2 linked regions of the Yarrowia lipolytica genome follow. The protein of the gene in region 1 interacts with the protein of each later gene in a pairwise test. Links are inferred from orthologs where the notes say so. Each region holds a gene or a part of one and is shown on either strand. Other genes may lie near its edges.

Region 1 (7,288 bases):
ATCACCAGCGGCTGTATTTTCCTGGAGGGCCTTCTGGAAGCCCTTGACAGGCTTGGTGTTGTTCAGAGAAGATGATAGAAGAGGGAAGTCGAAAGACACCTCCTTGAGGGCCTTGAGAGCAGCCTCGGGGTCCTTTCGATGGTTGAGAACAAACTGCGCGGCGTTCAGGCCTATGTTCTGCAGCTCCCTCTTGGTGTAGACGGGGTTCTTGTTGTCAGTCAGCTTCTCAGTGTTAGCGTCGTCGTCAAGAACCAGGTAATCAGTTTTCTTGAGGGACAGCTCGGCACCGTAACCGGTCATGGTAACTCGCTCAGATCGGTCTGATCGTCGGTATCGCAGAATGTACACCATCTTTCCATCCTGGGCCTCCTGGTACAGAATCTTGTGGAACAGAGGGAACTCGGGAGATCGCAGATCAGCGTAAAGAACGGTCACGGGGATGTTCTTAAGATGCTTGTTGGCCTGTACGGATCGAGCCACGTGGTCGAAAAAGTACACACTGGGGTTCTTGGGCATCTTGGTGGTCTTGAGAGTAAAGAGATCGTTGGAGTCGCAGTATTTTTTGCCATTGTAGGTGAAGAAGATGTCGCACTCGGATTCCTGGCTGTCGCCGAGCTGGTAGAAGGTCTCAATCAGAGGAGATTCTCGCCGGAAGGCCAGGGCGGCGTCGGTCAGAGATTTCTGGAAGTCGGAGATCTCGCTTTTGGAGGCCGCAAAGGCCGTCAGGTTGTCGTACCATTCCTTGTCGGTATAATTGGCACCATCCTCGACCTGTTCGGCAATGTGATTGATGAAATCAAAGTAGGTGTGTTCAGTTGAAAGGGTTTCACTGGGTTAGAAAGGCGATGGACAATTTTGTCGACAGCCAACAGAATATCGGCAGCTCGTACGTTAATGGTGACAGAGTCTTGAGATCAGCTTTTTGTCAGTCCAGCGAGGGGGAGACCATTTGCTGGTGTGAACTCCGGTGATGATCTTTAGCGCGAACTTGTCAGGTAGAGAGAAATAGTACTCTCCATCGAATCTACCGGAGGTCGTCGGGGAGCAGGATCTAATGAACCGGGTTGGTTCGTATCTCCGATAACAATCGTCTGACCTTGGATCCATACCGTCCATTGGTGCCAGGATGGTAGACACAGGCCAATATCGGTCCGGGGATTTGCTTGTCTACACTGATCGCCTCTTCCATGGCTGAGTCACTCAACATTTAACACAATCACCCAAGTACTGTCTCTGTCCAATAACCTGCTAAGGTCATCGTCGTAGTCAGAGCTCTCCGAGGCCATCATTTAGATCCAGATTGCCTGACTCAAGTCGCTCATGTACCTTGGACTGTCGCACATACTGGGTCCTGTGTGACATGTAGTCTTGGACACTGGTATTGGCCACCACTAATTGATCCAGTCCACTGCCAGAACTCATAGCCAAACCAAACACGCAAGATCGCCGCCCTGCCATGCTCGATACTCACACTAATTCCAGCAGAAAGTCACTCTGCCATTGAGCCTTGAGCTCGACCGTCACGTTGGCAGCCACGCTGGACGCAAAGAGCGCCGCGGCGGCATACTTCAACAGTTTCATGATGCTGATATGACAAGTAGTGAAAGTAGCAGACAAGAGACTCTGTCGAGGCTGGTATACGCACCATCGCCAAATCTTAATCTCGCTTATGCATGTGTTGTCCTTGGAAAAAGTGGGGGCGTCGGAAAATGGCGATTATTGTAATACAAAGGTGAGGTTTTTTGGTACCATTAGAATGGTGTTGATTGGAATATCCAGAATCTGCTTTCAAATTCTTTCTATATCCTCTACATCCCAATATAAAGACACCCCATGTCCTAAATAAACTCCAACTATATGTACTTAGTAACAGGGGTCCTGCGGGGCAACAATAGACAGCCAGGGAAAAGGGAAGGCAGACGCAGAGTTGTTTCATTCGAGATGAGGGCGTGAAAGACGTCAGTGTCGGTAGCCACGACTGTATCGACCTTTTATATTCTCTATTATTCTACACAGCATTGTGGAGTGTATGTTGGTATGTTGATATCTTTCCTACTGGTACGACGCCAGTGCCATCTCATTAACATAATTTCATTAGCCGTGATTATATAAAAATTACACACGATTATACACTGAGAACAGCCCATACCGTGAGCTGTTTGTTTCTTTTCAAAACGAAAATTGATGCAGTCATGCCTGCTGAGGAGGCTCCAACTTTCTCAGGAAACCAGCCACCCGGTTGATGTCGACCTCCCCTGAATCACTCTCCACTGCCTGGACAAGACCCTCCAGCAGCTCGTCCACCTTATCCTCGGCAACACCAGTGGACAGAGCAATGACCCGTCGGAACTTGTGTTCCAGCTCGGTCGATCTGCCTCTGAGCTCTCCAGACGTTCGCTCCAGCTCAGCCTGGTTCTTTCGGTACGCTCGCACACGAGCCTGAAGGACTTGCTGGGAGGGGACCTCAATCGAGTTCATCTCCTGCACAGACCACTCCTTGTCTCGAGGAGCCTGGAACAATGCACGAGTTCGGAACGGCTGGTCAGCGTCAAAGTTACCCTCGAAAGACATATTAGCACCGCCGGAATGCGCCTGGAACTTGGCATCTTCGTCGTGAAGAGCCCGCTCAAGGTTAGTTGCTCGCTTCAGCATTGCGTCTCGCTTGGAAGAAAGGTTCTTGAGGTGCTCAAGTCGCTGTCGAGCCTCGGAAAGTGCATTGGTAGCTCCCCTGAGCTCGGCATGAGCCTGTTCAGCCGCTCGAGTTCGTCCAGCCATCTCAGACGAGAAATCCGTGTCCAGACCCTCGATCGACGAGATGATCGTCTGCAGAATATCCTTAGACCGCGTCTCGGCATTTGCAGAGAAGCCCACTCGTTCTCCTGACCGCGAGAGCATGGGTTTAACCTCGGCAAGGTTGATAGTGACGCCGAAATCAACAGGTCGAAGTCCAGCTCGATTGGGAATCATGGGATCTGCACCAACCTCAATCAGCTGGGTCACGATCGCACGATTTCCGACTCGAGCAGCAATGTTCAACGCAGTATCACCGTACTTGTCCTGAGCGTTGACAATCTCCTGCATAAATCTCGCCAAAGAGAACCGGATTCGCTTCGGCGACGTCCCCCGTCGCACAATCCACTCGAGCAGACACTCAAGGTAGTACTTTGCAGCTGCTGCTCTGCCTCTGATACCAGCAGTCAGGGCAATGTGATGCAGAAGAGTTCGGTTCTGCTTATCTAGTAGGGGGATGGCTGGGTAAATGATATCCAGCATCTGGGGGAAGGTGCCGGAGTCAAAGTTGTTGGTCACAAGGATAGCTCGAACTAGCGCCGTCTCGCCAGCGTAGTTGGCTCGTCGTCGGTCAGCTCCATGCATGACCAGAGCCCGTACAACATCCACTCGGGCCAAGGCAGCAGCCCAATGAAGAGCAGCATGTCCCATATCGTCAATGGGGACGTCAACGTTGATGGCCGGCGAGAAGCTCGTTGCTCCGTTGCCCATAAACAGCTGAGTCATGATATCTCGTGACGCGTCATTGTGTGCATCCGGAGGAAGAGGGTCCATAGGGAGGTTCGTCGGGGAGAACAGGTCTGCTGTGGGAAGGTTTTCGTCGAATTCCAGAGTGTGGTTGGGTTGCTGCTGCTGCTGTTGTTGTTGTTGCTGTTGTTGAACCATGTGTCCTGGAGTACTCTGGTGGCCTTGGGGGCCCTGATTTTGAGGGCCACCATGTCCGTGTCCGTTAGTTTCCGACTTGAAACGCTTGGCTGGAGGAGACGCTGAGTCTGTGCCTGGAGTGCCAATCTGAGGAGTGCCCATATTAGACATGCTGGGTGAGCCACTCATGTTGCTCATGGAGTTGTTGCCGAGCATGGAAAGTGCTCTTTCGGCAGACACAGAGAGAGGGGTGTGTGTTTGGGGAAGCTGCAGGGGTTGCGCCAGAGGCATGTCCATTCGGCTCTGCTGCTTGGTAGCGACGATCCGTTTTCGGCGGGCTGCCATGGCCTGTTCCTTGGTAGGTGTGTAGTCTCCGACTTGGGCGGGATCAAAAGCTAGCAGCGGCTGCAGCACGTCGTAGACTGAGTACTGTCGGCACAGATCGACGCCTCGCTCGTAAGGGATCCATGTTCCCTGGTACTTTCCGTAGCCTCCCTGGACCTTTTCGTGGGCGCCGGTGAGGATCTCCTTTTCGAGAATCTTGGTTCGTTTGGACTTCTCCACGCCGGCCACCTTGAGGATTTGGGTAGCGTTGAGCGACGAGTCTGTGCGTCGTCTCATGACGGCCACGTCGTTGGCCATCATTTCAAACACCTGGATTCCGGAGTAAACGGCGGTGTACAATTCTGGCGACATGCCAGGTGTGGAGGATTCGTGTTTCACGTCGGGCATGGTTGTGGATGAACAATGGTCTTTGTCGCCTGTAGCGTGTCGTGAACGTCTTTGAGCGTCAGTTTTTCTGGGGCAAACAGATGTGGTGTGAATGCAGTTGTGAAAAAATACAAGTCGGCGAGTCTAGCGGAGCTCGAGCAAAGTCGCAGTCGTGTAGCTAGCTCTTCTCTGTCCAGAGGTGGTTCTGAGCGCTTCTTTTTCTGTCGGTACCTCAGGGCACTGTCGTGGAGCAAGGGTGTACAGGGTTTTGTGGAGCTGGTTTTAGCGTCACGGGAATGATCGGTCGTGGGAAAACGCTGGTTGTATGGCGCTAGTTGCGAGGGCCGTGTCTGTGTCGCTGTAGACGTGTCGCTAGAGCCGTGGAATGGGGTGTATTACTGGCACAGTATCGTCTCGGCCGTGTCGTCGTGCAGAGAGTCACGATTGCAAGTTAAACTCAGGCGCGTAGGAGGGTAACGCGTGATTGGGAGGCAGGCCCAAAAACCCATGGACACAAAAAAGACAAGCCCAGCGGGCGACAGAGCCGAGCCGCGGGAGACACACACATATATATACTTTGGTTTCTGCTCTGTGTCGCGCCCCCAAAATATTTCGCATTCAGTCACAAACGCCCTGTCGTAGCTCCCTCCACTAACCCACCCATTCAGCACACTTGCTCACTCTATTTTGGCGGCTTATTCGTGCATGGGAAGTATAAGTAGCAAGAGTTGCCGAGGGGAGCTGTGGGGGGCGGGGGAAGAGGTGGCGCGAATAAAAGAAGTAGATGGGGCTCGGCACGACTGCCCGAGCATTTCAAGACTCTTCTCTTGTTTCTAGCGTGATTATTGGACATGTTGGAGCCGCTTTTCTTCCATTCAATTAGTGATAGCATAACCAACAAACCTGAGGTAATTATCTTGATGAAAAGAGACAAAATCTGGGAGGAGATTGCATCATAAGAGAGAGATATTTGACATCTACCAGAAACTTATTTTTTCCCTGTTTTTCTCGCGGTTTTTCGATATTTTGGCAATTTTTCCATTTCTCTCCTCCACAAATAACCCCGCAAATGGAAACACCTAACCCGTTATTGGTTTTGGCGTTGCAACTCTAAAAGTCCTGTGTTGGGCTGAGATCGGCAAAACCCGTGTAGAAAAGCCGATACAAGAGATACCGGGCGTCGAGTCGGCGGAGACCGAGTAGAGCGGGTCACGTGAAGGCAATTTCCGTTTTCCCGTTTTTCAATATCTCCACTGATGCGTCCATTTATAACCGTTTATTAAGGGTCAAGCCTAGATTGTATTACGTAAGTGGGTGGGAAGAGGCAGGCAGCGTAGGGTAGCAGAATAGGAGATAGTTGTACGGCAACTTGAGCTGAGCTTTATCATGGGGCTTTTTAGAGGGAGTTCCTTCGACTTGAGTCGCTTTCGTGGTCTTAACCTCTCAGAAATGCCGTTCTGAACGCTCAATGTTGTATTGTAAAAGTACAATTTTTTTTTCTGCATATACATTCATTTAATTATAACTTTGCTGTGAAAGAATAACCTTTGAAATGAATGTTCACGAATATTACTAATTAGTACAGTACATATTGTACAGCTACTTACTGTATGATGGTTAACTAGGGAGGAGGGTATATCTCCAAGTACTTGTACAAGTAGACACAAAAGTGATCAAAACACACGCCAGAGGAGAGTCACGTGACGAAAATAAAACGTCCGGGACCCCACGATCTTCACGGCGTCGTAACATGTCTTCGTATGTTCATGTTTGGGGATATGATGGTACTTTGTATGTTGATTGCAGTGGTCAGTTGGTCGAGATTTTCCTGAGATACGATGTACCTACTGTACATACTAGTACCACCACGCGGAGTTGTCAAGGTTATCAGTTGTCATCCTGTTGAATATAAAACGATATCATGTTGTTCCTTACAACTCGTAGACTTCTGAAATGTAAATATCGTACCTCTTACACCACTATTGCACCCACTATTTCCACTCCTCACCCCCACGTTCCACCATGTGCCACTTGAACTCAATTGCTATCTATACATACGATGCTGATACACGCCACACAACCTCTACAACTACTCCAGCAGCTGAAATGACGACTCCGGCTTCTTTGAAACCAATCACGCCGTACCTGGCCAAGGCCAAGGAGACGCAGACGGCGGACCCCATCATCTCGTACCATTGCAAGTTGTACGCGGCGCAGCAGATTGTCGACCAGGGTCTGCATCAGAAAGACACAGAAGCCGCCATCTTCACCGGGAATTTGCTGGACGAGATTGAGAAGCTCAAGGAGGAGGATCCGGTTCTGGTGTCGGAGAAGGGCCAGGCTGTTATCAGTGACGACACGGTGGCCAGCTCGTATGTGGAGGCTTTTGCCCTGAAGATCTTTGCCCGGGCAGACAAGCAGGTGCGGGACAAGACGAGCACCAAGGCCACGGCGCAGATGTTCTTTGCCGCGGCCACCTTCTTTGAGGTGGTCAAGCTGTTTGGAGAGCTGGACAAGGACGTTGTCGATAAGATCAAGTATGCCAAGTTCCACGCCGCTCGAATCCTCAGAACTCTCAAGGCCGGAGAAGACCCCAACGAATTCACTGTCGAGGACGAGGACGACGTTATCGACAACGCCATTGATGACGGAAACGAAGATACTGCTCCAAAACAACCAACCACAGAAGAGGAGGAGGCAGAGCTGCCCGAGGAGGAACAAATCAAAAGAATGATGGCGGAGATGAAGAAGGAAGCTGGCGTTGACGACGGTGCTGACTCTGTGGATCCTTTCGACAAGAGATTGTCTCCGAAAGAGGTTTCAATTCACGCCTCCAAGGCACTATCATCTCACGATAATGACGACCCCCTATCGAGCATTCCTCCTGCACCTCCGACTTTTCTTCCCGAAGACAACACTCCTC
Region 2 (6,517 bases), on another chromosome or scaffold:
GAGAGAGACAAGGGCGGACGTCGAAGAGGAGGAGGCCGACGACGGGCCCATGAGCTGTTTGGCTAACAATTGTATTTTAAGGGAGACTGGTAAGGGTATGGTGATAATAAAATTATTGAAACTTGGACAGAATGAGAATGTCGGTAGTGTTCACACTGTACTATGGCTGTGTATTTTAATGTAGTTACTGTTGTGTACAACTATGTACTATTGCTGTATGTACTGGATGCGTACTGTACCGTAGTTGTGACCATGATTGCGTACTTATTGCACTCTTAATCTGATTACTTGACGTTGGTACTCCAGGTTAGATAAACTTTACTAATACCCAGATCACGGCATGCAGCTTGGTGACGGTTAGACCTTTTCTGATTACATACAACATGGATGGATTAATTGCCAAATACCTCCAAGATAAGGGATACACCAATGTGAGTGATGCGACGGCGCAATCGTTCTCCCTTTGATACTAACCCAGACCCTGGCTGCTTTTGAAGAGGAGTGTGATATCAAAGATGAACCTGTCACCATTGAAGAGTGAGTACGATATAGACGAAATAGTGCTTTCAAGTGACAAACCCGATGTTGTCCTCTCGTGGCGTACATCCTTTCTCTGCCTTTTCTAACCCAGATTGATGACCTACCTGCCGAAAAAGGAACAGAAAGACGACAATGTAGTCACGGAGGAAGACGTCACCCTGACTGTGCTGTCAACCAAGTCGAAAAACATGATTGTGGACACAAAGCTCATCGGTGGCAGAGTTGTCACTACAGATTCGACCAAGAACTTGACCTTTTACAATACTACTCTTCTGGAAGTCAAGAACCTCACCTTACCGGCTGTAGGACGAGTCATCGTTGCTGGAGCCAATAACACCACTCTGGTGGGATGCATGGATGGATCCATTGTCCAGGTGGATTCAGAATACAAACCCAGCAGTTTCAAGCCACATTCTCGGTTTGTCGGAGGAATCTCTGTTTCTGAAGATGGACTGATTGCGTCCATTGGCTTCGATAAAAAGGTGGTGGTCACGAAGCAGGTTGGCTTTGAACAGGTGGCGTTCATTGACTCACTGACTAACCCCACAGCGATTGCATGGACTCGTAATGGGCTGGCTGTGTCTCGAGAAGACTGTACCTCGATTCAACTTCTCTCCGACCAATTGGAGAAGCTCAGAACTATTCCTCTGGTCGATGCCCACTATATGCCCCACTCATTCACCGTGTTTGACATGGTCTACAACAACGATACCAAGGAGATTGCCTGTCTCACAAGCCATACGCCCTACGCAAGGGTCATTATTGTCAAGTCTGACGACACTGTTGTTTCCTTCCCTACTTTGATTCCTCAAGACAAGTACAGTCTGGGACGCCTTAGTTGGTTGGACGAGAAGACTCTCGCCATTGCTGGAGACGACGGCTCGGTGCGACTGCTCAACCAGACTACGTGGCGAAAGATAAACGTGGCAGGTTCGAGATTGCGATGCATTAGTGCTGGTGATGGCTACGTTGCCACTGCCAGCATTGATAAGGAGATTGAACTAATACAGATCGAGTCTCTGGGAGATGATCTTGCGGGGCTAAAGCTCGAATAAACAACCAAATATTGCTGTCAGATTACATACACAAGTAGATAACCTCGTAGTGTACATTAAATTACATCGTCCTAGACCGACCCATACTATCTCTCTCCCTCAAGCAGAGCCTTCTCGATTCCATCAAGAAGCCCGTCGATATCCTCCACCTTGACACCGCAGCTCATGGCCACCAGCCGTCTGTACTCGTTCATCTTCTCGCCAACCCCGGCATTGGCGAACAGCTCTACCACGTCGTCCACAAGATCCTTCCGTCCATGCTGGAGGTCTGTCAGCTCCTTGGCGGTCTTGAACTCGCCCTTGGTCTGTTCACGCGATATCTCCCGCTCCTCCTCGGCAACAAGCATGGCAAGGCCCTTCGCCTGTGACCGCTCGAACACCTTGCGTAGCTGGTTCACCCGTGTAGTCACACGCTCTTCAGCCTCAGAGGCAAGTTTCTCGAGCTCCTCGGCGGTGCCATGTTTGGCCTCATACTCCCGGATCGCCTCGTTGGTAGCGGCAATGTCTTCCTCCATCTTGGTGGCCATCTGGCGCACCTGTTGCACGTCGGCGTCCTTCTCCTTGAGCTCGGCATCAAAGGCGTGAGCCAACACTTGCAGGTTGTGCACTACGGTTCCGGCAAGATTGTGTGCGGCAATGGCAGTTTCGCTCTCGTGCAGCATCTGGTAGGGAGGCTGATGGTGGAGTGCCATGGCGGGCGGCGGGTGTTGCTGCATCTGTCTGTCGCCCTCCAGCAGATCCAGCGCAGTTCGACCGTCGGCATTGACGATATCTGTCTTGACATTGAAGTCCATGAGGGCACGGGACACCTTTTTGGCACCTGAACGGGCGAGAATATGCAGGGCGGTGTCGCCCTCGTTGTTCTGCGTGTCCATGAATTGTGACAGTACGCCTAGAGAGTGGTTCTCGCTAATTTTTGACAGCAAGATAGTCACGTAGTACTTGGCCGCGGACTGCGACTTGCTCACGTGCTGGGCAATGTGGTGAAGCACGGTTCTGCCCTGGCCGTCCACCTGAAACAGGGTGTCTTGCAAGATGTCCACCACTTTAGGGAAGGTTCTTCGGTCGTAGTTGTTAGTAAACATGATGGCCCTCGTCAAAGGTGTCTGGCCAAACATGTTGGTGGCTCGCACGTCCGATCCGGCCTTGAGCAGCAGCTCAATCACCCGCAGGTGGCCCATGGCACAAGCCCAATGCAACGCTGTATGGCCCTCCTCGTCAATGGGTCTGTGCACATCAAACTCTGCAGGTGGGTTTTCCAGGAACGCGGGGATCTTCTCGTCGTCAGCAGACACGAAGTAGTTGAGCAGGTCGTTGGTGTACAGATCCTTGGGGTCCCGTACCTGTATTGGCTTGGGCTTGGCCATCATGGGTCGAGGGTAGTTACCCATTTGTCGGTCAACTTCTTCATCGGACATGAAGTCGGACGAATCGTCAGCAACTGTGGGAGGCGATGGAGTCACGTGGTCGCTGTCGTCCAGTCCGTAAGACTGGGCCAGTTGGCTGAGAGACGACTGTCTAGAGTGTTGTGGAGTGCCTCCCATGGTGGATCCCGTTGACTGGGTGAGAGTCTCCATGCGACTGGGCTGGCGAACCAGAGGCGATCCCGTCACCTTGGTCCGCTTCTTGCGCTCCAGATTGGGTCTGTGTTTCGGTGCGGGAGGAGGTGAGCCATCCTCGTCGTCGTAGTTGAAGATGGGCGCAAGGTGTGAATCAACGTCGTACAGCGTGGCAATCTCTCTGGCCCGCTCCAGGGGGACCCACGTGCCCTGGTACTTGCCGTAGCCGCCCTGGACCTTTTCATGGACGCCCTTCTGGACCTCCTTTTCCAGAATCCGCGTTCGCTGAGGCTTGTCGAAGCCAGCGACCTTGAGGATGTGGGTAGCGTTGACCCAGCCGTCGGATTTGCGCCGCATCACGGCCACATTCTTACACTGGAACTCGTAGACGGGCACGCCCGAATACGTTGCTTTGTAGATGGACATGGTCGCGTAGTGCGTCGTCGTGTCGCGTTGGCGCAATAATGGGTTTCGGGTTTCGAGTTACCCTATGTGCTGTTTTGGACAACGAGAAAAGCCGTATGTGGGCTGGGTGTGCAGTATCGTAGCGAGGGTAATTTGGAGTCCCAGCTGGGAGGGAGCCAGATCAGCGGTTAGAGATATATAAATATATACTTGTTTGGCAGTGACAGAATGAATGTCGTGGGTGTGAGGGTTGCTTTTTTTTTTCTCTATATAAATCTCGTATGGCCTGCCCCTGGCGCTCCGCCTTACTTCTATTATCGTCTTATCCCTGCGGCAATTCCCAATTGGTGTGCACCTGAGTCCTTACAGCTCAGGTTACGTAATAGTTCCCACCACAAGCACACACCTAAACCATCATCACCCAACCCTAGCCCCAAAATATGCTTTTTCACCGCCAGCACCAACTGTCACCATAATCCACATCGATGGTGAGTATTGATACAGGCGTCCTGGGGCTCACGTGGGCCCCTCTCGATGCGATACGCACCGGCCCAACCGTGGGCAGACAGACCATGACTAACGCAGCTACCCTTATCCCTACTCAACGCAGCACAGGGTCAGCCCATGCTGGTGGAGCTCAAATCGGGCGAGTCCCTGAGAGGCCACCTGTTGAAATGTGACCACTGGATGAACCTCACGCTCAAGGAGGTCGAAGAGTTTTCTGCATCGGGCGAAAACACCGCCACCGTGTCCGAGTACTATGTACGAGGCTCCAACATCAAGGCTCTCCAGCTGCCAGACGAGCTACTGCACAGCATCAAGCAACAATACAGCCAGCAGCGGGAACAGCGACAGCGACAGCAGCAGCTGGAGCAGGGCGGCCAGTTTGGCAACCGACGAGGCAACCGAAACTACAACAACCAGAGCAACAACCCCAACCAGCGACAGCGAGGTGGAGGACGACGATATTAGACGTGTTTGTGTCCATGTTTGAACGCGAGCGCTGGCTACCGAAGGCCACGACCTTCCCCGATCTGCAGATGGCTACCATGTGTGAAGTTCCGCTTGATAGCCGCCATTCTGCCGATTAGTAATGTATTTTAGGAGATGATTGATCTAGGGGATTGTAGGTGGAGATAGTAGTAGCTGTAGACGAGTGGCGGTGATGGAATTGAGTACAATCGGCTTACGTAGGGGGACAGGCTTTGTACGTACTTGGATGATTTGGTTGCTTTCTCTGTGTCGCCACAAGTTCTCATTCGAATGTAAGTGATCACGTGGACAGAACTGTACCAGTACAAGTACAGGTGCCCGTGGAAGTAGCTTCTGTTGAGAGTTCCATTCTATTTTACAAGTAGTAATTGGTGGTGCCTGACTAGCTATAGAAGGAAACTTATCGTGGAACATGTGTGTGATAAAAAAGTTGGATGTTGGATCCTCGTCGTCGTTGAAAGTCTTTGTAGATGCATTACAATGGTTACCTTCTACCATCATACAACACCAATACCGATTCTTGTACACTCAGTGAGTTTCGGAGCAGAATTCTGTAGCTATTTACTGCAGTCCATTATCGCCATATTTGTTAGTTGCTACAGTATTGTACATACTTGTCATTGCTATCAGTCATACGAAGTCTAGCTATAGCAACCAAGTCTTCCACTGCCAGGTTGTGGTTGATATCTCTCGTATTCGTACCCGTGTGCTCGCGCGAATTGTTCTCAGATATCCGGTCATATGGAACTGCTCTAACTCCTACTCGCCGTCCTGCCACAAGCGACTGTTCGAGACTTTCACTTCACATCCAACGCAGAATAGTACGAAGTTACAGTTGCTCGGATTGCGGTGTTTATCTGGCTCGTCATGGGGTTTATATGAGGGGATCCCACAAGTAGACTATCACAGTGGTTTTAGAGGGAGGAAGGGTCCGTTGTGATTGCACGCAGTGGTTCATTGTACCTAAACTGATGTCATTGTTATCATCACTGGAGTCTACGACCCATCTATGTATGAAACGTGGTATGTACATACTGTAGCGAATGCACTGGCCATGGTCCGTCGGTCGGAAATTAAACGTCTCAATAATGTAGGAAATAACCATAAGCCATATGTTTAAAAGACTCTTGTGGTGTGTACCTCCGTAGAGCAATCTAAACGTTGGAGGAAGCTCTTCCGAGGCCCAGCTCGGTGGTCTTCTTCCCGATGTGTTGGATGTGGTCTGAAACTACAGTGTCTTGATAAGCATTCGGCGGTCAACTGTGTCGCGCATTTGGGAGGCTTGCCTCATGCTGCAAAGAGTAACGGTGCTGTACCCAAGCTTTGTATTTTCCTTTCTTATTATTCTACTCATTATTCTAACTCTCGTATGTACTGTACCTTGATGAAATATATATCGCGGTCTACTGTAGTCTACTGCTGTGGTCTGGCACAAGCAGGCCCAACCCAAATAGGCAGGAGGATTCCCAAAATAGCATAGCAAGGCAGACCCGAAAAACATAGCGCTTTTTGGCGAGCTCTTTTATCGATATTATATATGTTATGTTGCAGTGCTAGTTGAATTTTTTTTGCGCAGGCAAAAGCGGCGGTTTCGGTGGCCCCATTATTTCCGTCGAAACGGTAAACGTGCGGGCGTGTTGCTGCGGTTACTGCGCCACTGGCTGGGTCACGCGTGTGCCGAACTACAAGCAGACGCTAAACAAATTGCTTAAAAAACTTTTGTCCAAGGCTCTTCGCAGTAATCGATCCCCTCATCGAACCTTTTTGCGTCTCAGTCTCAGCACAGCGGATAACAGAAAAGGAAGAAAATAAATTAGAGATTGATGATTAGCACCACAGAGAGGCTGTGATAGCACAGGGTCGTAGTGGAATATGTATATATGGAGCTGTGGGGAAGAGTCCGAGTGCTTAAATACGGGATTTTATCCGCTTACTTGGGTCTTTGAACCCCCACCGCCAAAGTCG

The links.
Region 2: the proteins of YALI1_C17820g (region 1) and YALI1_A20855g interact in binary tests that used the Schizosaccharomyces pombe proteins (3 or more experiments, as listed by UniProt). The link is inferred for Yarrowia lipolytica from reciprocal best matches to the Schizosaccharomyces pombe genes cdc10 and res2.

What each region holds. Positions count from the first base shown.
Region 1 is NC_090772.1:1,779,123-1,786,410, reverse strand, and holds YALI1_C17820g (uncharacterized protein), read right to left. Parts: upstream 4,387-7,288; coding exon 2,191-4,386; downstream 1-2,190. Other genes in the region: YALI1_C17848g (uncharacterized protein), read right to left, coding at 1-829, 1,472-1,581; YALI1_C17800g (uncharacterized protein), read left to right, coding at 6,388-7,288. UniProt on the Schizosaccharomyces pombe protein: Major component of the cell cycle transcription factor complex MBF (MCB binding factor, also known as DSC1), that controls G1-S phase specific gene expression. Involved in the control of rRNA production, via interaction with pol5.
Region 2 is NC_090770.1:2,082,499-2,089,015, reverse strand, and holds YALI1_A20855g (uncharacterized protein), read right to left. Parts: upstream 3,581-6,517; coding exon 1,682-3,580; downstream 1-1,681. Other genes in the region: YALI1_A20902g (uncharacterized protein), read left to right, coding at 1-66; YALI1_A20884g (uncharacterized protein), read left to right, coding at 636-1,595; YALI1_A20849g (uncharacterized protein), read left to right, coding at 4,045-4,047, 4,145-4,531; YALI1_A20839g (uncharacterized protein), read left to right, coding at 4,965-5,074, 5,123-5,492.